2 linked regions of the Caenorhabditis elegans genome follow. The protein of the gene in region 1 purifies or fractionates together with the protein of each later gene. This does not show direct contact. Each region holds a gene or a part of one and is shown in the gene's direction. Other genes may lie near its edges.

Evidence for each region. Proteins that work in one complex are often made in the same cells at the same time.
Region 2: the proteins of ain-2 (region 1) and alg-2 purify together in Caenorhabditis elegans (affinity purification with mass spectrometry, with the first as the bait; one study listed by BioGRID). This does not show direct contact.

Annotation. Positions count from the first base shown.
Region 1 is NC_003279.8:4,651,686-4,659,538, forward strand, and holds ain-2 (ALG-1), read left to right. Parts: upstream 1-1,841; coding exon 1,842-1,857; intron 1,858-1,912; coding exon 1,913-2,001; intron 2,002-3,657; exon of another isoform or gene 3,658-3,663; coding exon 3,664-3,811; intron 3,812-4,035; coding exon 4,036-4,773; intron 4,774-4,825; coding exon 4,826-5,095; intron 5,096-5,520; coding exon 5,521-5,802; intron 5,803-6,253; coding exon 6,254-6,570; intron 6,571-6,999; coding exon 7,000-7,077; intron 7,078-7,323; coding exon 7,324-7,632; downstream 7,633-7,853. Other genes in the region: ptps-1 (Putative 6-pyruvoyl tetrahydrobiopterin synthase), read right to left, coding at 501-638, 885-1,016, 1,069-1,221.
Region 2 is NC_003280.10:871,596-879,237, forward strand, and holds the start of alg-2 (Protein argonaute-1), read left to right. Parts: upstream 1-1,616; coding exon 1,617-1,671; intron 1,672-2,056; exon of another isoform or gene 2,057-2,185; intron 2,186-2,564; coding exon 2,565-2,667; intron 2,668-3,264; coding exon 3,265-3,438; intron 3,439-3,507; coding exon 3,508-3,848; intron 3,849-3,891; exon of another isoform or gene 3,892-4,092; intron 4,093-4,139; coding exon 4,140-5,201; intron 5,202-5,432; coding exon 5,433-6,391; intron 6,392-6,842; coding exon 6,843-6,881; 3' UTR 6,882-7,642. Other genes in the region: fbxc-51 (F-box C protein), read left to right, coding at 1-4.

The DNA of each region.
Region 1 (7,853 bases):
TTTCAATACAAGAGTTTGCAGTAATTTTAGGTGAAAATACAAAATTATAGTTTTCAAGTTTTCTAAAAATTCACATTTGAAAAAAATGACGAAAAAATGACGAAAAAGCTTGTGCAAATTTGGCTCCTTGTGTGTGTGTGTGTGTGTGGAAGGTGCGTATGAAATAGCACTCTAGTCACGAGAGACACAGATAATGAGTGGGGAGAAAGCCGAGGAATATAGTGGGGCAAAAGACGGCAAAAGAAGTGAAAAGGGGAAGTGTAGTGTGGCGGCGGAAAGAGGACAGTGGAATTGGAATAAACAGGGTTTTTGTAAATGTTGATGATCAGAATCTGCTGTTACAACAACACATATAGTTATTTTTTCCGGGCGTTTGTCGTCGACAGTTTCGAAACAATTAATCCGATTAAATCTAGACTTTTTTTGGAAACACGCTCTATTGCTAAAAGGCTTGAAAAATTGGTTTTATGGTTTTATTCAAAAACTATTTATTTCAGAAATTAACATCCTTTATAAGTGAAAATATTCTTGGGTGTCTCCTCAATTGTCACTTTATACAAAACCGATGGATTCGACATTACGGATTTCAGCTTCTCGAACATATAAATTGCCACGTTTTCAGATGTGCTCACAGTTGTCTGAAATTGGAAAAAAGTATTTATCTTGGTTTTGAAACGCGAAATTGCGGTCTTGGGTCCTTCCGAAATTTTTTATGATAACAAAAAAAATTTAATTTAGATTTTTTTCAATAGCAAAATTCTCGAATCTTTTAAACAAAAAACATTTAAACCATACTAGATGGTACTGTAGCTGAAAAGTTTCGCTCGTGCCAAGACCCACACTTTGAATAGCATTTTTAATGACGCATAATCTGTCTACAGTACCTTAAAAAATTCCACGTCTTTATCCAAATTCCTGTGATCTACCGTATCCAGCACTAAACTCATTTCTTTTTTCAGCTTTGCCAGGTCATACACCATTCCACTCGTCGGATCAACTTCTCCGCGGAGCTTTACCTGAAATTTTTCGAAATTATTTTTATTTTATTAAAAAATAAAATTTTTAAACCTTCCAAACATAATTATGTCCATGACCATTTGAATTATTGCATTTTCCAAAAGTTTCCTTATTTTCAGCGTCGCTCAGCTTTTCAGAGTGAAGACGATGTGCTGCGGAGAACGAATCGACTCGTTCCATAGTTACAATTGGCATTCTGAACATTCAAATAATTTATTTTATTAAAAAAAAGAAAAAAATGGAGAAAAATGGAAGAATTATGTGTGTTCAACGAATAATTTATATACTGGCGCTGGTGTTTGCAAATAATTGATTACAATTATGATATGATTGTCATCGTCTCTCTTTTCAACTAATCATCTTATTACGACAGCAGGATTATAGTTTCTGCATCAAAATACGCAATAATTTCAAGCGAAGGATTACTGTAGTCGTGTTAAAATTTTATATTCGGAGAATTTTGAAATTTTAAATAGAAAAAATAGTGCAAAATATTTATTTTCAATTTTAATTAGGTGATTTCAAAACAATGGACTGATATTTATTAAGTTTTCACTCAAAAAGCAAATTTCTGTGCCTGTAAACTTTTTCAAATCGAGGCATGCGCCTTTAAAAACTACAGTAACCCTTGTCCGCGAAAATTCGAAATCAAATTCATATTTCATCATTTTCACTCATTCTTCTTCGTTTTTGTGCATTTTTTTTCCGAATTTTCGATCAAAATTTTGATTTTAAACATTATTTTTAAACATTCCGTATCTTATTTTCAGAAAAATCACAGCAAGACGCGAAAAAAACAAATTTTAAAAGAGTTTTGCGTGGAAATGCACGGATATCAAGGTATTTCGTCAATATATTTTCGCTCAATTAATTCTAAACAATAATTATTTTTCAGGCAATGATCCGAATTATCGGCGGCAACCTCCCTATCGCCAATTACACGTTGATACACGATCTCCGTCGAGTTACTCTCAACAATATGTTGTGAGTGAAATTTTAAAAAAATCAATTTAAAGTCATCATTAACATGAAGAAACTGTTGATTGGGCACAAGTTAATAAAAAATAACTAAGAAAACCAGAAGATGACGTCATCTGACCGTTCTCCGCACTTTTCATGGTCAATCTCCGATATCAAGAATTCTCATCTCATAATGTCTGCCGTCTCTTCAAAAATCTACATTATCTCATACATTGTCCTCCTAGAAGGTGTCGTTGTGGAGGGAGGGGAAAACGAGGGCGCCCATATTGTCGGGCGCTCCTTGAATAAAAAATGTACGTTTTTTTGTGCAGACTCTCCACGCTTTGCTTCTCCTTTTTCTTCATATTGTACATATATACGTATATTTAATGCACAATGTCTCTGCGTCTTGGTGCCCTTCGTCGTTTTTTTTTTCGCTGGAAACCACCCCAGGAACCGCCACCGCCACACCACTACACCGCCCGTCTTCTTGTTCATGTCTCTGCGTCTCGTGTTTCTTTCTCTCTCGCAACGAACTCTCTATCGATTGGTCATGTCGACCTCCGTCCGTGTCCTCCGACTTGGGGTCCACTTTTTGTCTGCGTCGCGTATTCTAGCGTACTGTGTCACTGACACTCTTTGTTTCTTATTCCTCCACGTCTCGATCAGTGACAGGGACTCTTGTAGTTTTGGAATTTGATTTTTTTTAATTCTCGGATTTACGAAATTTTTCGTTGATGTTTTTGTTTGAATTCGAAAACTCCACTCAAAAAACTATTTTTTTCTATTTTGCAACTAAAAAACGGCCAAATTATTTTGAATAACCAATAGGTTCCACCATTTTGGCATACAGTTTTTCATTGTTTCGCAATTTGAAGCATTATGCGTCACATTTTCAGATTTGTTTTCTGTAAAGTATTAAATTATTGATTTTTCCGCCAATTTTAGAATTTCGGCGAAATTTTGCCGGGTTATTAAGTTTAGATATCTAAAAATGTGGCGAAAGGTGTTTCAAATTAGTGATATAACAAAGAACAACCAATTAATACACGATCGTTTTTTGTTGCAAAATTGCAACAAAAAAAATCTAAGCACGCATATTCGGTAATTTCGGACAAAAACTCCGCAGATACTACTCCACCTAAGATTTTCGTAGAATTTCCGAGGTTTTATAATCTAAATTATGCACTTTCCAACTTATCATTAGAGCGTCATTTCTTCGTATCGCTTGGCTTAATGTATATATATAGTCCGAACCGTGGTACAAGACCGGACTATTCTCAGAGAGACCCGTTCTCGTATACATTTTCCATTTCTATCCTTAACTATATATCCCTTTCCGAGAAGATTTCTACTAGAGAAAGCCTGTTTTACGATGTTACTCTGGGTTTCACCTGCTTTTCAGCTTCAGGGCTAAAAAACCAACCGAAAAAAAATTGGCTGAAAAGCTTAAAAATTAAAATATTATGTTTTTTTAAGTGCTCCAGAAAATTACCGTACCCCTACCTTTGCTCAAAAAATTCGATTTATCGGCCTTCCAAGTTTTGAAGTATCATATCTTTTGGTTTCTTGCTCTTTTGATTCTCTGCTTGAAGCTCCGAATCTCTTAGACGCGGAAGTAATGTCAATTTCTTTGCACCAATTTTTTATTGGATTCTGTTCCATAAAACTCATAACATTTTTCAGCCATACGAGGCGGATCCGGGTATGAACGGGGACGGTTGGCAAGGACCTGGGCGTGGAGGACCACATCACATGAATGGTGGCGGAGGAGGACGACGTGGTGGAGGTGGTGGTATGCACAATCAAAGAATACAACAGAATCCCCATCATGGTAAGATTTGATTCGTTTTTTGGGTGACTAGAAATTATTTAAGAAATTATTTTAAAATTATTAAAGAAATAAATTTGCTGCTATTTAGAATTTCAAATTATATGAAAACTAATTTTCAATATCATCAAATCAGCAAGTCTGTAAAATTCGGCACCTGTAGCGATTACTGAGATTTAAAAAAATGATTTAAAAATTGATTCAAAATTCAAACTTCTATTTTTCAGGTGGAATGAATCGTATGATGCCACACGGATTCCGACCACAACAAGGACAATTTATGCCTCAATATCCTCCACCACCACCAATGGGTGGAATGCCTGATGTGATGGATATTAATATGCGAATGGATGGTATGTCATTAGGATCGACACCATCAGGAATTCCTGGACAATATGGTGATATGGGTCCACCGCCAGTCCAACAATGGAATCAACCTGCTCCATTTGTACCTCCACCTCAACAAGACGATCTCTATGATCCTTCGGGATATGGTGGTGGAGCTGGTGGTGGTGGAGGACATCATCCATCTCATATGCCACCATATGGACAACGTGGAAATAATCAGAATCAATACGGGAATCGAATGCAAGGAGGTCAAGGTGGTTATCGAGGGAATCAACAGAGGCAGCAGCAGCAACAGCCTCAACAGGGATTCAATATGCCACCAATGATGGTTCCACCTGGTCAGCCTCCATTTTATGGTGGAAATCAACCGAATCATCATCATCAACAACCCTCATTTGCTCCGTCGCCATTCTCAATGGGTGGAGGTGGTGGAGGATCACAAGGAGGACCACACGAACAGCACGGACCAGGTGGAAATCAGAATGGAGGATTCGGAGTTTCATCATCATCAATGGATGATTATTCAATGTGGACTGATGAGAATGATGAAGACGCGAAAAAGAAAAAATCGTTGAGAGATAAGGGATTGAGTGGATGGGGTGATGCTGATGTATCAAGTAAGTTTTCTGAAAATTCTGAATATTAAATTCTTAATCTTCTTGCTTCCAGACAGTAAACCAATTCGCCGTTGGATTGTGCCAGAAGGCCAAGAAGAAGACTTTGAAACGGCAATGGAACGATGTCCAAGTCATTTGAAAAAGAAAGCATTGAATGAAGAAGCTCTTCGTCGACGTTTAACATCTGAAAATCCACAAATAGTGGCACAAGCTCAACAACAAGCCGAAGAAGAGGCGAATGCTATGATGAGGATTGGACGAAGACCCATTGTTCCCAGTGGATGGGGTGATATTCCATCTGAAATTAGTACTGACAAGAGTGGTTCGTTTTTTCTTTTTAATCCTACTTCCGTATTTGGTGGTAAAACCATTAATTTATTCGTTTAAAATTAATTATACCAATTTTTTTGTTGCGTTTTCCGTTTTTTTAAATATTTTTTTACATCGAAATTGATGATAAAATTCATAAACAAATGAAAAAAAAATCTTCATGTATTTTTTATGCATCAATTCAAGGTGAAAATTGTAAGAATTAGTAAAAACCATTAAAAACTCAACAAAAGGGACGAAAAATGTTTGAAAATTGGCGAAAATAATTGAAAACGATTTAATTTACGGTTTTGCCGCCAAATACTATTTAAAAACAGTTTTTCATTTTTATCCAAAAAATGTTTAACAAAATTGAAACATTATACGATTGGCATTTATAACGAGAAAAAATGCAATATTGTACTAAAGTTTCAAAAGATTCAGAATTCGATCAAAGCTCGTCACGTGGTTGGGATGAAGGAAGTATAAGCGGTGGTGGAAGTGGACGTCATCCATCTCATCATCAATCAAATGATAATTCAATGTGGAATAGTCCATCAGTTGGAGGAGGTCAATCAAATAGTGAAACACGTAATCCATTCTTTGCTCAACACATGCAACAGCAACAACATCAACAACAACATCAGCCACACTATGGAGGTTATGGTGATAATGGGGTGCTTGATGGTGGATCATTGTGGTCTGCTGCTGTCATGGATGGTTCGTACCAGAAAATAGAATTTAGGAATAGAATGGTTAGAGGAGGCGGAGCTCCGACTGCAACCCTGCCGCGCGTCTTTTATGTCGACAACCCAGAATTTATTTGTCTGCACGATTTCCCAGTTTCTGCTAAATTCTTGATCCTGGACTGTTTTCCTTCTGTATTAACCTAAAAAGCTAGTATTTCAAGTAAAAATCGATTAATTTATTTATGAAAACCCCATAATTACTGTTTCCCTTTTAAGTGGGAAATACAGAAAGAAATGAGGGAAACGGTCCAGAATACAAAATTTTAACAGAAACTGTAAAATCGCGCGTAGTCCACCGGAAATCGACATGAGATCTCATGTCGATTTACAGTGGACTGGAGCGGCGCCCCAAACTATAGCTTTTAGTTTCCCCGTAATTTTTTATTAATGAATATTATTTTTTAATGAATATTTTCTTGCAGGATCCTCAATGGTACCACCACATCCAACAATGGGTGTCGGATCATCAGCTTCATCGTCATCAATTCCAATTGGCATGTTGATGATGAGCGGCAGTGGAAATGTTGGAGGCGGACCACCATCCTCATCTTCATTGTTGGACGAGGATGGTAGCCAGAAGAAGCTGGCTGAAAATCTGAAATTAGCCGTTCAGAAGGGTCATTTGGATATTTCCCTACTCTCACTTCCGCACATTCCGCCCAACGTGCTCGACTTGCTCACCGAAATTTTGGCGGTCATTCCGCGTTTGGACGACTATGAGGATGAGCTCAAAAAATTGGTGTGTATTTTATTGGGATAATAATATTACACAGACGCAAAATATTGCGATTTTTGCGGGTCTCGCCACTACATATTTTGTTAAATTCACAAAGGTGTGCACCTTTAAAGAGTACTGTAGTTTCACATTTTCGTTACTGCGGATTTGGAATTAATTTTCCACAGTTTTTCTCACGATTTGTTAGTTTGAAAGATTTTTAGTTAATTGAAAAATCGAAGAAAATTCCGCAGTAAAGAAGGTTTTGAATCACGGTACTATTTATAGGCGCACATACTTTTGCATTGAGCACACATTTTTCGTGTCGAGACCGGGCACTGTATTTATTCTCAAAAAATCGCAAAATTCTGTGTCTATAGAATGGTGGTGAAGAGCTAAAAATTAAAAAAAACTAGAATGAAAAGAAACATATTTTTAAATTACTTTTTTAAGGGAGAAAATCGCCCTTCGAACTATGACGAGGGAGCCAGCAAAGAGGAGAAAGAATCGTGGATGAGCAAGGATCAAAAGGTAAACATTTTTGATGAAAAAGTACGGTACCAGGTCTCGAAGCGATCGAAAAATTTTCACGGAAAGAAGTGTGTACCATTAAAGAATACTGTAGTTGCTACGAATTCAGCATAATTTTCGATCGTTTCGAGACCTGCTACAGTATCTCAGAGCTAAAGATCGTAAATTTCCGAACCTGGGTTATCACAAAGAGTTTTTTAAAAGATTAGAGTTTAATGAATAAAAATAATAAAATAAAAATTACAGAACGATCACGACAAAGCAGTAATCGGAGTAGTGACTGCAAAGATCGAGGTGACACAATTATCTAAAAAGATCACCGAAGCTTTGATCGAAGCTGGGCTTCTTCCACCACAACCACAAACATCTACATCTGCAAATACATCTACCAATCATCTTAATCATAGAGGAGGACCACCGCCAGGATCCGATGGAGGAGCTGGTCCAAGTACTTCACGAAGTGGTGGAGGTGGTGCTGCTGGTGGAGACTCTTTTAATAGTAGTGGAGGTGGTGGACCACCTGATCATTATTATGATTATTCGTTCCTTGGTTAGATGCTGATTTATTCTTTTTTTTTAATCTGAAATCAAATATATAATTATTCAGTTCGTTCTTTTCTGCTGCTGTAAATTTAATTTTCTTCTTTTGAAAAAGTCTAGAATTTTTATGCCAAAATTTGCATTGCTTGTTAGTTTTTATTTTATTTATGACTCTTCTCGTATTCATCAATTTATTTTCATAATTTAACTTTTTAAAATCAATATGTGTTAGTTTG
Region 2 (7,642 bases), on another chromosome or scaffold:
CTGATTTTTCAATTTGCTAATTTTTTTTTTCAATTATGTCTTGTTGTCGTGTTTTTGATAATCTGAAATTTGTTGCGTGGATTTTAATAAAATGTTTTTTTGGTACTAAAAATGTTCCTAAATTTTTCTATATTTTGCTAGTTACCGGCTCAACGAAGGTGGTATATTTTAAAATCTGAATATCTGTAAATCTACAAAAGTTAGCAAAAGATTGTCAATTAACAAAATAATCTACGCAAATTGTTCTATAAGTTGTTAATTTACAAATTTTTTGTAGCTCAACTTTGAGCATAGTTATGATAGCTCTAAGTAGGGACAGGTTACCTGATTTTTATCAATTTTAAAACTTAAATATCTCCAAAAGCATCAAAGCTAATAAAAAATGTTGGGTATCTACGTGTACCTTACCCTTAACGTGGATATGAAGATCGTGTAACGTGAACTCATTATCTATGTATACTAACTTTCTATTTATTCCTTAGTTATGTAATAATAAACTACTCGTCTTCGCCTCCTTGTTCGGCCTCGAATATATAACATTGGCGATCAGGATCTTTCGGGCTCACTGCACCACTGACTTCATGCACATGTCTACTTAGAAGAAAAGACCTCTGAGGTATTGTTTTGATCTACACATGTCTACTGGGAAGAAAAGACCTCTGAGGTGGATCAGGTCAGCTTTGGGAAGAGGCACCTGCCGTGCTCTCTGCAGTTGCAGTCAAGGTGGACAGGAGCGGCTTCTGGTTTGAAGTCGAAAAGAAGAAGGAATCATTGCTCAACTCTTTTGAAGATGCGAGTGAAGGCCACCTATGCGTTTCAAATGCTCAGTCATTGGACGATTGCACAAATTGTTATTGGTCATAACATGATCCACAACCAGGAACTGGGATACAACAGGTTGATGGTGGAACAGGCGGAATCAGTGTGGATGATTCAAGGTTGGGTCTAATATTCAGGCAGCAACGTTTTTTTAGTCTGTTGGTGAAGGGTGGATAGACATCAAAAATATTTCGATTGGTACGGGAAGTGTGGCTAACTTGGAACCCGCAATTGGAGGATGTGAACACCGAAGTACCGTGTGCAAAGGATTGGCAATATCGACGGTCACACTGGAGGGTGGTCCGTGAGAACCTCAGAAGACATTCGTGGATGGCTCCTCACCAAAGCTCTCGTTTGTCATTGAAGAGGGGAGATGTTGGGTATCTACGTGTACCTAACCCTTAACGTGGATATGAAGATCGTGTAACGTGAACTCATTATCTATGTATACTAACTTTCTATTTATTCCTTAGTTATGTAATAATAAACTACTCGTCTTCGCCTCCTTGTTCGGCCTCGAATATATAACAAAAAATTAATAACAGGCAAAATGATTTACACAACTTTCTCTATATTTTCTTAGTTGACAACTTTTTAATATCTCAACTTACCGCAGAGTTATGACGGCTCAAACTAACCTTGGCTCGCTGCCAATTTTCCCACGTTCCTCCTCCTCCTCCCCCTACCCGAACAGTCTGCCCCCAAAACTGTGTCTGCGTCTCCTTATCGCGTCCCGTCATCTAACACTCCCAACGGACCGTCTTCCCACCTGTCAATTTCCCTGTTTCTCTGCGTCTATGTTCCCTCTGCCTGTACACAATGGTCCTAGACTTGGAAAATTATCGATTTTCGGTTAGTGGTCCGAGATTACCCGCGCGCGCGCATTTTTGAGAGGCCAGCTGTGTTGGTCAATCGTTTTTCTTGCGATTAGGGGGTTTCTCTTTTCATTTTCTCAGTTTTAAAAATAGTTTTCATTTTTAATTTTGATTTTTCTCATTAAAACTTTAAAAAGCTTAAAGTTTTCTCTAATTTATTAAGTTTAACATTTAGAAAATAAGATTTTCAACCCAAATTTCCATATGAAAATCGAAATTTTATCCCCTATACAATTCAAATTCCCCACGCTCCCCAACCCTTTTCTAATTGAGTTTTGGGGTGCATCGAAAAACACGCCAGTGCACCGAAAGTGCGCCAGCTAGCCCGTTGACGGCATTCCTTCCCCCGAGGGAACACCCGCTTTCGCAATGACTTTTGAAGCCGATTTTGGAGGTCTAAACTAGTTTTTTTGAGATTTTAACTAGAAATTCGAAAAATTCAGTTTAAATTCTATATAGATCTTAGGTTTTTTGAGGAATCTAGGTAAATTTTGGATTTACCAATTGGTATAGTAAAGTTAGTGTGGTTTTTTAGATTTTTGAAGTTCTCAGCAAATTTTCCTTTAATTTTGCCAAAATTTTCTATATTTTCCACAGCGAACTTTCAATTTTAAAATACTCTGAACAAATTTACTAAATAAAATCGAAAATTTTTTGGCATTTTATCGATTTTTCTCAAGTTGCCAACTATGTAATAACCTCTATGATTTCAGAGAGATTTTTGATTTTTCCCACTTAAGTATGTCTGCACTTTAAACCAAAAATTATGGGGTTTCATGCTTAAAGTTCACATTTTTTCTGTGTCTGGGTGTGCTGCTCCGTTTTGTTCTTTTTCGTGCAGCTTCTCATTATCAAATAAAATGTTTTCAGAAATGCCCGGCGATTCGCTGACATCGTCGTCTTTCATGCCAGATGGTGGCGCAGAAACGTCGAGCTCTTCACAGTTGGGCGGCTCGGCTCACGGAGCAATTGGGTAAGGTTTTGAATTTTGTGCAAAAGTTTTGACTTAAATCTGAGTTTGGCTCGATGTGGAGCAGGAAGTCTAAGCTTCTGGGCTTGTTAGAGCTGGATTTTGGGCCCAAAAACTATATTTGGAGCCCAGAACTGGGAAACTTAAACCAGAGCCTCTAATAACTTGAATCTAGTGAAAAATCTGACACTTACAAAAAAAACTGAAGTTACTTCAGACTTGGACTTTAAATTTAGAATGTGAGCTCACATTGGCTGAGCTTCAAGTTTTTAGAATTTTGGGCTTTAGCTATAATTCTATTAAAATTTTTAGAGAATGTCCGGAAATTTCAGTCCAAGCTTAAGCTTAAGCCTAGACCTAAGCCTAAACTCACACCTAAGCCTAAGCCTAAACCTACGCCATCAAATTTAAGCCTAAGGTAAATACCACCCGACTAAACCAAAGCCAACTCTTGAGCCTAAATCAAATTCCGACCTTCAGCGTCTGTTGAAGCTTTCAATTTAGACTTAGCCTAGGCAAGCCCAGAAACTTTAGCTCCAGGCCTGATTTTTATTTAGTCTTCCTGTAAGATTCCTGAATCTCTAATTTTCCAATTTTCAGCACAAAACCCGACGCAGGCGTCCAATTCCAGTGCCCAGTCCGTCCGAACCATGGAGTCGAGGGCCGATCCATCCTCCTGCGAGCCAATCATTTTGCAGTACGGATCCCCGGAGGTTCAGTCCAACATTATCAAATTGACGTCTTTCCGGACAAGTGCCCAAGACGGGTTAATCGGTAAGTACTTTTTCTATTGATTCGGGGTTCCCTTCAAAACTTCAGCTCTGAAATTTTAATCATTTTCAGCGAGGTAATCGGCTGCCTGATCTCCTCCTTCTCAAAATATTTCACCAATATTCGACCAGTCTACGATGGAAAGCGTAACATGTACACGCGGGAGCCCCTACCAATTGGCACGGAGCCCATGAACTTTGAGGTGACGCTGCCTGGAGATTCAGCAGTGGAACGGAAGTTCTCAGTGACGATGAAGTGGATCGGTCAGGTCTGTCTGTCAGCTCTGGACGATGCCATGGAAGGTAGAGTGCGGCAGGTTCCACATGAAGCCGTTCAGTCGATCGATGTGATTCTTCGCCACTTGCCAAGTTTGAAGTACACCCCGGTTGGAAGGTCGTTTTTCACACCTCCAGGTAAGATCTCAAGTTGCTTGGTTAAGGATCTAGGACCTAGGATTTAGGATCTAGAGTATAGGATCTACGATCTAGGGTCTAGGATCTAGGATCTAGGATCTAGGATCTAGGATCTAGGATCTAGGGTCTAGGGTCTAGGATCTGGGATCTAGGATCTAGGGTGTAGGATCTAGGATCTAGGATCCAGAATCTAGAATCTAGGATCTAGGCTCTGGGATCTAGGCTCTAGGATCTAGGCTCTAGGCTCCTACGCTCCCAGACAAACTTCAATACTCCAACTATATCTTTTAGGCGTCATGAAGCCCGGCATGCAAATGCACCAGGAGAGCAAACTCGGTGGAGGCCGCGAAGTATGGTTTGGATTCCATCAATCCGTCCGACCATCCCAATGGAAGATGATGCTCAACATTGACGTCTCCGCCACGGCCTTTTACCGCGCGATGCCAGTCATCGAATTCGTCGCCGAGGTGCTCGAGCTCCCAGTCCAAGCTCTCGCCGAGCGTCGGGCCCTCTCCGATGCTCAACGCGTCAAATTCACCAAAGAGATCCGTGGACTCAAGATTGAGATCACCCATTGTGGAGCCGTGCGCCGGAAGTACAGAGTTTGCAACGTCACACGCCGCCCGGCCCAGACCCAGACCTTCCCATTGCAACTGGAGACTGGCCAAACTATTGAGTGTACTGTAGCCAAGTACTTCTTTGACAAGTACCGTATCCAGCTGAAGTACCCCCACCTTCCATGCCTCCAAGTCGGTCAGGAGCAGAAGCATACGTACCTGCCACCAGAGGTCTGCGATATTGTTCCAGGACAGCGTTGTCTGAAGAAGCTCACCGATGTGCAGACGTCCACCATGATCAAGGCCACGGCTCGTTCCGCTCCAGAGCGTGAGCGTGAGATTTGTAAGCTAGTAAGCAAGGCTGAGCTCTCCGCGGATCCATTTGCTCATGAATTCGGAATCACTATCAATCCAGCAATGACTGAAGTCAAGGGACGTGTGCTCTCGGCTCCGAAGCTTCTCTATGGAGGTCGTCATCGTGCCACAACTGCCCTTCCGAACCAGGGAGTCTGGGATATGCGCGGGAAGCAGTTCCACACTGGAATGGAAGTCCGTACCTGGGCGATTGCATGCTTTGCTCAGCAATCTCATGTCAAGGAAAATGATCTCAGGATGTTCACGACTCAATTGCAAAGGATCTCTACCGACGCTGGAATGCCAATCATCGGTACCCCTATGTTCTGCAAATATGCTTCTGGAGTGGAGCAGGTGGAGCCGATGTTCAAGTACTTGAAGCAGACCTATTCGGCGATTCAGTTGATTGTGGTGGTGCTGCCAGGAAAGACTCCGATCTATGGTAAGTTGATTAATTGTAGGTGAAAGTTCTAGGGTGTTGGTGTAAGCTTTACGCTCCTAGGTTCCAAGGATCTAGATCTTAGATCATGGAGTCCTGGGATCCTAAGCTGCTAGGCTCTTGGAATCCTAGGTTCCAAGGATCTATGGCCTAGATCATTGGGCTCTGAATCTTGGGACCAAGATCATCTATATCCTTACCTCTTCAACCCCATCTGAAGCTCTATATTTTCAGCCGAAGTGAAACGCGTCGGAGACACCGTCCTCGGAATCGCCACCCAGTGCGTCCAGGCCAAGAACGCCATCCGAACCACCCCGCAGACACTCTCCAACCTCTGTCTCAAGATGAATGTGAAGCTTGGTGGAGTCAACAGCATCCTCCTGCCAAACGTGCGTCCACGGATCTTCAACGAGCCCGTCATCTTCCTGGGTTGCGACATCACCCATCCAGCAGCCGGTGATACCCGTAAGCCATCCATCGCCGCAGTGGTAGGATCTATGGATGCTCACCCGAGTAGATATGCGGCAACAGTTCGGGTCCAGCAGCACCGTCAGGAGATCATTACGGATCTGACATATATGGTTCGAGAGTTGCTTGTCCAGTTCTACCGTAACACGAGGTTCAAGCCAGCCCGAATTGTGGTCTACAGAGATGGAGTGTCTGAGGGTCAACTCTTCAATGTGCTCCAATATGAGCTCCGCGCAATTCGTGAAGCTTGTGTGATGCTTGAGAGTGGATACCAGCCAGGAATCACATTTATCGCTGTGCAAAAGAGACATCACACAAGGCTCTTCGCCGCGGATAAAGCTGATCAAGTAGGAAAAGCATTCAACATCCCACCAGGAACAACTGTAGATGTGGGAATCACGCATCCAACGGAATTCGACTTCTTCCTCTGCTCCCACGCTGGTATCCAAGGAACATCCCGACCATCTCACTACCATGTGCTCTGGGATGACAATGATCTGACGGCCGACGAGCTTCAACAGTTGACCTACCAAATGTGTCATACCTATGTAAGATGCACGAGGTCTGTGTCGATCCCGGCGCCGGCGTACTATGCACATCTGGTGGCGTTCCGTGCTCGTTATCACTTGGTCGATAGGGATCATGGATCCGGAGAGGAAGGATCACAACCTTCGGGGACGTCGTCGGAGGATACAACATTGTCAAGCATGGCCAAGGCCGTACAGGTGAGCATTGTTTGGATTTTGAGATAGAGTGTAGGCAGAAGCATAGAGCTAGGATCTGGGCCTAGATTATTTATCTAGACTGAGATCAGGATCTGGGCTGAGGCTTGAGGCATAGGAGCCTAGGAGTCTAGAAGCGCAGTCCTTGAAGCATAGACCAAGACCCAGACCTAGACCTAGACCTATACCGAGAACTAGACCTAGACCTAGACCTAGACCTGGACCTAGACCTAGACCTAGACCTAGACCTAGACCTAGACCTAGACCTAGACCTAGACCTAAACCTAGACCTAGACCTAGACCTAGACCTAAACCTAGAACTAGACCTAAACCTTGATCTAGACCTTGATCTAGACCTAGACCTAGACCTAGACCTACACCTACACCTACACCTACACCTACACCTACACCTATACCCACGCTTTCCTAACCTACTAATTTCAACTTTTTCCAGGTTCATCCCGACTCGAACAACGTCATGTATTTTGCCTAAGTCTCCAACTACGGATTCTCTGCCATTTCACAGCCACTTGTTATCTATGCATCTCGATTTTCATTTTTCCCGTTTCCTCTGCCCCCTGAGATTTTCATGTTTTTCCTTCCCCTAATTATCAATATCAATCAATACTTTAATATCTTTCAAGCCCAGGTTTATAATATTTCCAATTATGTTAGGTGTTTAATTTTCACCAAGTTTTTTTTCCATTTTTTTCCAAATTTCTTGAGCCATTTTCCATACTAGCCACACAATGCTTTTTCGATCCTCCAAATACTTTCCATTTGTGTCTTTATCCCCCTCTGCTCTAATTAAATACGACCTTATCACTCAATTGGTACACTTTGTTGTAAACTGTCTTTCTCTTAGTATCTGAAAAAAAACCTCATGATTGTCCTGTTTTTCAACCCACCCCCACCCACAATGCCTTTTTGTGTTTCCCAATGGCAAGTCCAACAGAATAAAGTGATATTTTGGAACCCACAGGATGTCCGCTGCTATTAGGGGGCCCGTAAGATGGGCGCTGTTTCTGTACGCCAGTGAGATGTCCGCTGCTTCTAGAACACCATTAGATGTCGGCTGCTCTATTGGGCTCGGGGCATGTCCGCTGCTTTAGCAAACGCTGCTCTATTAAGCCCGTATGATGTCCGCTGCTATTAGGGAACCTGTGGGATGTCCACTGCTTCTAAAAGCCTGATTGTCTCCTACTTTGCACCAGTGATCCCGTAAGATGCCCGCTGCTTCTGAGAACCCATAAG